Linked DNA regions of Neodiprion lecontei. The protein of the gene in region 1 interacts with the protein of each later gene in a pairwise test. Links are inferred from orthologs where the notes say so. Each region holds a gene or a part of one and is shown in the gene's direction. Other genes may lie near its edges.

Region 1 (4,206 bases):
ACTTTTGAGACAGTTTGACACACACTTTACACTGAGTTATGAACTGTCAAAAACTTCGATGAGCAGGTTATCTTATCGGTATATATCTATACCTATCATACCCCAGGCCAATGGCGCCCCTATCGGATAGATAGGAAACAAGACCGTGTGCCTCACTAACGGTAACACCTCTCAACCACATTGATTACTTTTTGACAACACCTGCTCTGGAAGTTGACTTTTCGAGCGCTGTATGTTATCTCCGAAACACACAATAATCGCATACTTGACTATGGGTATGTTCCGATATACACTGCGAGCACTGTTCAGTGCTCTTACTGGGGAGAAATTCGTTCCGTTATAGACGGACAGTATACAGTCGCAGTATCCTAGGGAAATATATGACGTCATAAATCGTCGCCATTTTTCTACTGTGAACACCGGTGCTTTCGAGGTAAGGTGCTCTCAGTGCTTTGATCACGTGATCAACAGCGTTCAGAACTTTAACAGCTTCCACTATTGATAATTATTATTATTGAATATTGTCATTTAAAAATACCGGCCGTTAAAAACAAAAATGGAAAATTTGAATAAATTGTGTTTATTGCAATGTGAAACAAATATTATGTATGAAATGAAAGTAACGCCAAAAAATGTCGATCACAGTATACTCCACTGCGTTCCGTTTTAAGCAGTAACCAGTATAGCTAACTATAAAGGAACGGCTTCGCAGTATACTAAATTGACGTCACACCTTACAGTGCTCGCAGTGTATATCGGAACATACCCTATAGGTATGTGTTTCATAAACGCACATGTTCGGTTAAGTATCAGATAACTGCACAGATTCCACCGAAACTATACTACTATAGAAATATAACCACACGAGTACAGTCTGTATTAAACTCACTCTGGCCGTGTTTGTAAATTGACTGCCAGTACTAAAAATTCCCTAGGGCAGAGACAGAGCTGTCCATGAACTCGGCAGCGCAAAAGAGATAAAAGATTGCTGACAGTACTGTCAGTCAATTTTCGAACACGGCCTCTATCTTTTTCACCTTACTAGAAACTATTCAAACGCCATCTGATGCCGCTATAGTAATTTAAGTTTTAAAATTAATATATTCCTCTCAAATTCGACTTCCAGATCAGTTTTTGTAAAAAATATTGTATTCTACGCGTGGGATAAGTAGCAAATATCTCATTCGTGATTACGACATTCGCTGTAAGGTTTATGAGACGTTCATATGAAGACTCGTGTGGTTGTCGCAACTCGCCCGACGGCTCGTAGCGACATCTACCACACGCGTCTTCATACGAACGTCCCATAAGCCTTACGCTCATGTCGCAACAACATGACTGTCCGATTATTTGCTACTTATCCCACATGTAGCATAAATAACTGTATTGATATCCGAAATTGCGGATATCAGATACTAATACTATGAAAACGAATGTAATGATATGAAAAAAATGCAATATTAAAGAAAATGGGCAACCTCACCATTCAGCGGTTTGCGACAACGGCCAAAAATAACGAAATTTGAGGTTCTGTAACTCAGCCCTACTAGGGCCGTGTTCGAAAATTGACTGACAGTATTGTCAGCAATCTTTTATCTCTTTTGCGCTTCCAAGTTCGTGAATAGCTCTGACGCTGTTCTAGGGAATTTTGAGTACTGTCAGTCAATTTACGAACACGGTCTAGATAGTAGCGACGTAGTGCCGAAACCGTAAGCTACAAATTGATTCAATATCTGAGTCACTCCTAGGTGCTCCTAGCCTACCCCCAGCACCAGAGTTGCAAGACCTGTATGTAAGACGTGTTCGTGATCATACGGAACTGGTCAGCTGCGTGCGATGATTGCGCAGAACACACTGAAAGCACAAGTCAGTCAAAACATGGCGTTTCTAGGCGAAGCTAATCGTTATTCTCCGTTTTTGGCAGCGCAAAATGACTCGTTTCATAGTGCTTCGTATGATTTGTCAGCCAATACTTTGGTCCCAGACATTTACGGTTCACAACGATCACAGTAAGTCTATACTCCATCTAATTATTCTTTCGTCCGTCGTCCGGTACGTAACCTATACTTGCTCTGTCAAATATTGTTCTACCGTTATATCATACACTTTGAATTTCAATGCAAAACAAACGTCCCAAGTTTCACTATCATCAATCGTTGTACCTGATGATTTTTCCTTGAAGCCCCGGTAAAATTCATTAAACCGCAACGTCTAGAACTTGCCAAAAAAAAAAACCCGCTTGTCATGACACGGAAATGAGTCGTTCCCTTGTCTAATTCAGAATCAAATTGTACGAGTGTCAATTCTTTGCAACAATATAGGGCACCATTGACTACCGCGACTTCAGTAGTTGGACTTCAATTCAAAGACGGAGTTGTGATAGCAGCTGATGTGCTCGGGTCGTACGGGTCATTGGCCCGCTTCCGAAATTGTCAGCGCATAATGAAGGTCAATGACAACATCATCTTGGGAGCTGGTGGAGATTATGCAGATTTTCAGTACCTGAAGAACATCATTGAACAAAAGATGTAAGCTGCACTGAATTGAATCTAACACACGCTATTATAATTGAATAAACAATTGTTAAAGACTCGGTATTACCAACAATTATTCTAGACTTGAAGAAGAATGCCTAGATGATGGATTCTCCTTGAAACCTAAATCACTGCACTGTTGGTTGACTAGAGTAATGTACAATAGGCGCTCAAAATTTGATCCGTTTTGGAACAATTTTATCATCGCTGGACTGGAATATGGACAGCCGTGAGTAAACTTATCAACCCTGAACATTGATACGCCAATTTTGGTTGTACATGCTACAGCTAATAATTCGGCAAATGCCAATCGTCTAAGACCTTCAAATTTCATTATTCCCCCTTGAATTTCACGTGTTTATTTGAGGGTTGCTAATAAAACACCTATTCACCCAGTTTCATGGGAACGGTAGACAAGCTCGGAACAGCTTACATTGATCCTGTGATTGCAACTGGTTACGGAGCTTACATGGCTACACCTCTGTTAAGAAAGGCTCTAGAGTCTAAGCCAGATTTGAATAAAGAAGAAGCTATAGATATTTTGACCAAAGCCATGCAGGTTCTCTTTTACAGAGATGCCAGATCATTTCCAAAGGTCAGTAAATCCTCCTGAACAAGCATGAAAATTTCCACAGTATAGTTTAAAAGTGAACTGAAAATTGGGTATAAAGCATCTGAATTTCATCTGTGTTACAGTACCAAATTGGAATCATAAGTAAAGAAGGAATAGAGATTAGGGGACCACTGACACTAGAAAGCAACTGGGAGCTTGCTCACATGATTGGATAAACATGATGCAGAATATGAGGGAATACAAATAATTGCATAAAACTGCGGTGAATGTGATAATAGTGTTGAATGTGTTTTCAAATGTTCTAGCACAGAATTGAACTATTAGCGCAGCTCCGTGAAATTGATTCTTCTTTTATATCAGTAATAAAATAAAACGTAAAATTTGATTTATTTATATGGTTCGCGTCTGTACATGATGTATTTGAATTTAATACTATTTACATACTCTGATATATTTATTGAGTCAGAATTTCACTGCCTGTATCAGTAATCAGAATGGTGTGCTCCGCTTGAGCAGTACGTGCATTGTCTGTGGTCACTGCCGTCCAGCCATCCTCCAGGATTTCTACGTCAGGCCCACCTTGTGTCAGTACAGGTTCAATTGTGAATGTCATTCCAGTCTGCATCTTTCCAGGTTCGTCGTTTTCTGGAAAAATTGAAAGTTGAAATTATTAAGAGGTAGGAAAATTAATGCATACATATAATTGATAACAATGTTCAAAATTCATAAGATATTGTTCAATTTATTCGGTTGAAATTTTCCCAAGCTGAATATATTCCAGAAGTTAGTAATTTTTAATCCACAATCTATATCTCTAGTCCTACTGTCATGAATCGAACTTACTGAAGTGACAAATATCTGGAGGTCCATGGAAGTAATTGCCAATGCCATGGCCTGCAAAAGCGGGAACAATTCCAAAGCCATGTTTTTGCGCTGTTTCCTCAATAATCTGACCTGATGGATGCACAGTAAAAATTGGGTTAAGCTAATGATTCACTTAATTATTGAATTCAAGAGATAGTGTCGATTTGTGAATGATTACCAATTGAAGAGAAATTTTCATTGGGTTTACATATAGAAATAGCTTTAGATAGGCAT
Region 2 (4,610 bases), on another chromosome or scaffold:
CATTATGTGCCAGAAGATCTAGCATCCATGGTGACAGGGGTTCGAAACCCTCGAATCTGGTCCTCAAGTCTCTCAGCAATCTGATCAGTACTTTGATACTCGAGTGATGGGCATTTTCTTCGAACCATCGAGAGTGTCTGATAGCTGCTAGGTGCCCTGTAAAAAAAAAAAAAAAATTGAAACATGTTGAAACAAGGTTGATACTATTTTGCGAATTGAAAATAAAACTTGAATAGGTTTTTAAGCTTTGGTAACTATCTGAATTTTTTCTTGTGAAATTTTATCAAAAAGTCAAACGATCCGGGTGCAACACAATGTCGGTAAATACCTTGGCAGATTTTAACGTCAAGATGCTGCTCAGATTCCAATTTACGTAAGTTTTGATGCAAAGTAGTGATGAGGACACGAACAGTGGCCTCATTAGTTGAAAGATCAAATCCACGTTCCGTTTGAGTCAGCTTAAACGCCTCTTTAGGATTGCCCGCCTTCAAGTCTGTGTTTACTTTCGTGCCCAGCGCTTCAACCGCTGTTTTTGTAGGTAATGTTTTGAGGATAACAACGATGTCTGCTACATTGTGACCCTTGATCATTGTCCCTTTTTTGAAGCTCCCCACTTGTCTGACTTCCTCGAGTTGCTGTAAATGAAACGAATCCATCAATGTTCCTTCTCATTTTCGTTTCACTCGAAAAAAAAAAGAAAAACATAGCTTTAACTGTATTTACAGCCATTTTAAATTTGCTGTATACCCACACAAGCTTCGAAGGTTCCAGGTGCAACGATTAGATTATCCAGAACTCCTTGTAGCTTCGTAACGAGGTTCAAGATGGAATTCTGCTCTTTCGCTGTCGGACACATATCTGAATTTTTCTTCAGAAGTGCCGTAGTAAAGTCAGCCTCATCCGCAGCTGCCTTGACACGAGGAAACGCAGCCTCGCAAAGGGTGTAATCAAAGGGATGTCTGGGCAGGAACTGTTTCCTAGGAAATCCCATTCCACGCCCCATTCCTCCTCGACCACCTCTTATCATGCCGCCGCGAGCACCTCGAACCATATTAAGCCTGCAATGTCAGAACAAATCGAATGCATCGTTTAATCATTTCTGGAGTCGATGCATAGTTCACAAGATATTAAAAATTGGTGGGACGTGATTTCTGGCTCGATTGATGCTTGACGGCAATACGAGAGATAGATGAAATAAAAGAAATGTGCTGATGTGCTCTTTTAAGGTTTAATTTCACAATCGTTCAGAGCTCGCACGATTCTAATCAGGGTAATGTTTGGACTACGTATTGGCCAATCGCGTGTTGAGCGAGAGAGAAACCAATTATAACGAAAATATACCTCTCGTTTTCTCTCTCACTCACTCCTCGGCTAGACTTTCTGTACACGCAAAGCTACCTCCAGTAGTATATGCTCTAAGGTGCGAATGAACATTGAACGAAGAACCTAACCAAGCATAGCAGACTTACATTGCTGGAAGATCCAGGATCACCCTGAAAACAAATCGTATTCCGGTATTTCGTTACTCGGAGTGAGATGAGCTGTTATTTATTCTTCTAATCGAGTATTTATCGCGGTATTTATTCAATAATAACTTACCCTGGATAATTTATTTGAGCAATAGCCGACCTTAGTCCTCAGCGTGTGCTTAGCCGTGCTTAGCCGGTTTAACGATCCTGATGGCGTTTCATCTGAAGTCAACCGCGAGAGGCGCGAGAGCGCGAGTGTGCCGCGATTCGTGTCGCCATCTTGGATTCTACGTTCGAGATCGTTAACTTGAAAGTCGAAACTCTCCAGTTTCAGCCGTTCGAGCTTCAGGTTAGTGTATTGTTGCAAGGTAATCATGGCTTCGGAGCGGTACAGTTTTTCGCTGACTACGTTCAGGTAAGAACAGGGAATTTAACGTATTTCCTGTATTCTTGCGACCTTCAATCAATCAGTCTAACCGTTTCTGGAAAAATATTCAAAATTTTATCTTAGCCAGCAGTTTGAAAGTCCGTCAACTCGGTCCTAACCTAAAAACCACGTCAAGAATCGAAAAAGTTTCGTGTCAAACGAGTCTGAAACTTTATTCTCACCTAAGCAATATCAAACTTGTTTCAAATTTCTGTCTCAATCTCCATGGAAACTTGGAGTGAGCTTTATTGCATCCCATGTTTTGATCAAAGAATCTCCACTTTTTGTCCTGTCATTGTTACTCTACATCGTTTAAGGCTCAAATTTGATTGCGTCGACTATAAAACCTCATTATTCTTCACCATCATTTCAAAATTTTACATTTTTATTTTATACTTACAGCCCGTCGGGCAAGCTGGTGCAGATCGAGTATGCATTGGCTGCAGTATCAGCTGGGGCGCCTTCGGTTGGCATCAAGGCATCCAACGGAGTTGTTCTTGCCACTGAAAACAAGCACAAATCGATACTCTATGACGAACACAGTGTTAACAAGGTTGAAATGGTTACCAAGCATATTGGGATGATATATAGTGGAATGGGGCCTGACTATCGTCTACTTGTGAAGCAAGCTCGCAAAATCGCCCAGCAGTACTTGCTAGTGTACCAGGAACCAATTCCAACTGCGCAACTCGTTCAACGAGTAGCGATGCTCATGCAGGAGTACACGCAGTCAGGGTAAGATCAGAGTTTTCATGATTTCATATAATTAGCCGAAACTTGACTATAATTTCCAGCTGATATTTACTATGACCTCATGCAATTTAAACGGTTTTGAATGAATTTTATATGCTGTTTTTGACTTGATGTTTGGTATCAACGTTATAAACCATGAAAAGTAGACATTACCAAATTTAGATACAAGGTTTTAGCAAGCAGATGTGTGAGAAAAGTATATTTATGGAAAGAATTGTTGAAATCTGAAAGAGTTTGTCGTAAAATGGTTCTCGTTGGAAATTTCCATAATAGATTCATTGTTTGACATTTGTCAATCGAAGGGCATAAGACAAGTCGAAGAAAATTGCTTCACAAAGATTTAAAAGGAACCACGTGTAATGATTTACGCGTTATCTATTTTCGAGTAGCACAGAATAGACGAGGTTCCGCTTCACTTTTATGATTAAGAACAACCGGAAAGTTTAGGTGAGGGATTTAAATGAACGAGTCTGGTGTGCTGATGTTGGAATATGCCTTATGATTTATCGAACATGTGTCCGATTCGAAAGGTAAAGTCAGAATATCGTATGAAAGACGGACCAGGATTGCATCGAGAAATGAATAAAACAAAGTATGGGTGTGTGCAAAAAGCGGGGTGTGTAGGATCAAGGTTCCGGGAATAAGAAGCGGTAATCGGGTGTGTACAGGGTGTGCAAGGCTTGTATTGTTTGGCAAAATGGAGCGACTATTAGGTAGGAGGGATGAAAGTCGATGTATGAGTGAAATAGAACTGTGAAATAGTGCGGAGTACGTAACACATGCATAGTCACATTTTGGAACTGATTAAATAATGTCTGTGCAGAGGTGTACGTCCGTTCGGTGTTTCTCTGCTGATCTGCGGCTGGGACAACGACAAGCCGTACCTGTTCCAGTGCGATCCGTCGGGTGCTTATTACGCCTGGAAGGCAACCGCGATGGGAAAGAATCACATCAACGGTAAAACATTCCTGGAGAAGAGATACAGCGAAGATCTGGAGCTCGACGACGCCGTTCATACCGCTATTCTGACTTTGAAGGAAGGATTTGAGGGGCAAATGACCGCGGACAATATTGAAGTCGGCATTTGTGACGCCAATGGATTCAGGAGACTCCATCCGTCCAATGTCAAGGACTACCTTGCGAACATCCCCTAATTTTTTATTCTATCTACGTTTACTTTTTTTTTTTGTTTGTATTGTAATATCCATTAATTGAGTCGGCAATACGAATGTGCTCGCGAATAAAAAAATTTCTTGAAATAAACAAAAAAAAAAAAATGAATAAAAAATCGCTAGTGGATTTCTTACGTATGCCTTTTATATTAATTTGATTGAACAGTGTATATATCTTTTAATGTTTTAGGCATCTTACCACGAAGCAGATTTGTTTGAAATGATGTGTTCTTCCTATTTTCAGCCTCTTCTTTTTTCAAACCGACGACACTCTGTTATCGAATTTGCAATTAACGAAGTTGAATAAATACAGTCAAATTTAGTGTAAAAATTTAAGTTGTGGCATTTCGCCACGCGTGTTAGACGATTGCTATCTCTGACGCTCTCGCGTTTAATTTCGCGTGAGATTAGGTAAAGACCTGTTGGTTTCGTTTCCGTGTTTCTTTTTCATTTTTTTATTCAGTCATTTAAATTCTGGAATACCTGATTCGTAAGTGGCGGTCAAAGAACTCGTGTGAACTGCGGCAAAAATTAACAAGGCAATGACGCTCTGCGTGTGCACTTCGCTGTTCAATATTGAATCGGAATATCTAAGAGCTCTCCTCGAAACGTAATATTCGCGAGATGAAGTTTCGCCGCGAGGGGAGTGTAAAGTTGACAAGGCTCAGTTAATATTGAACGTTATACAACAACGGTACCGATCTAAGAGAAGAGAACGCGAAAGCCGTAACAGTTTCTATACATAATAGAGAGGGTGGTTGTAGATTAGGATTAGAACGTTAAATTCAA

Evidence for each region.
Region 2: the proteins of proteasome subunit beta type-4 (region 1) and proteasome subunit alpha type-2 interact in binary tests that used the Drosophila melanogaster proteins (3 or more experiments, as listed by UniProt). The link is inferred for Neodiprion lecontei from reciprocal best matches to the Drosophila melanogaster genes Prosbeta7 and Prosalpha2.

The regions. Positions count from the first base shown.
Region 1 is NC_060263.1:14,690,754-14,694,959, forward strand, and holds proteasome subunit beta type-4, read left to right. Parts: upstream 1-1,793; 5' UTR 1,794-1,836; coding exon 1,837-2,009; intron 2,010-2,321; coding exon 2,322-2,528; intron 2,529-2,616; coding exon 2,617-2,763; intron 2,764-2,930; coding exon 2,931-3,129; intron 3,130-3,230; coding exon 3,231-3,323; 3' UTR 3,324-3,501; downstream 3,502-4,206. Other genes in the region: methionine aminopeptidase 1D, mitochondrial, read right to left, coding at 3,563-3,753, 3,952-4,062, 4,151-4,206. UniProt on the Drosophila melanogaster protein: Non-catalytic component of the proteasome, a multicatalytic proteinase complex which is characterized by its ability to cleave peptides with Arg, Phe, Tyr, Leu, and Glu adjacent to the leaving group at neutral or slightly basic pH.
Region 2 is NC_060265.1:26,830,196-26,834,805, reverse strand, and holds proteasome subunit alpha type-2, read left to right. Parts: upstream 1-1,748; 5' UTR 1,749-1,843; coding exon 1,844-1,884; intron 1,885-2,298; coding exon 2,299-2,631; intron 2,632-3,472; coding exon 3,473-3,803; 3' UTR 3,804-3,955; downstream 3,956-4,610. Other genes in the region: interleukin enhancer-binding factor 2, read right to left, coding at 1-156, 329-635, 752-1,058, 1,470-1,471. UniProt on the Drosophila melanogaster protein: The proteasome is a multicatalytic proteinase complex which is characterized by its ability to cleave peptides with Arg, Phe, Tyr, Leu, and Glu adjacent to the leaving group at neutral or slightly basic pH.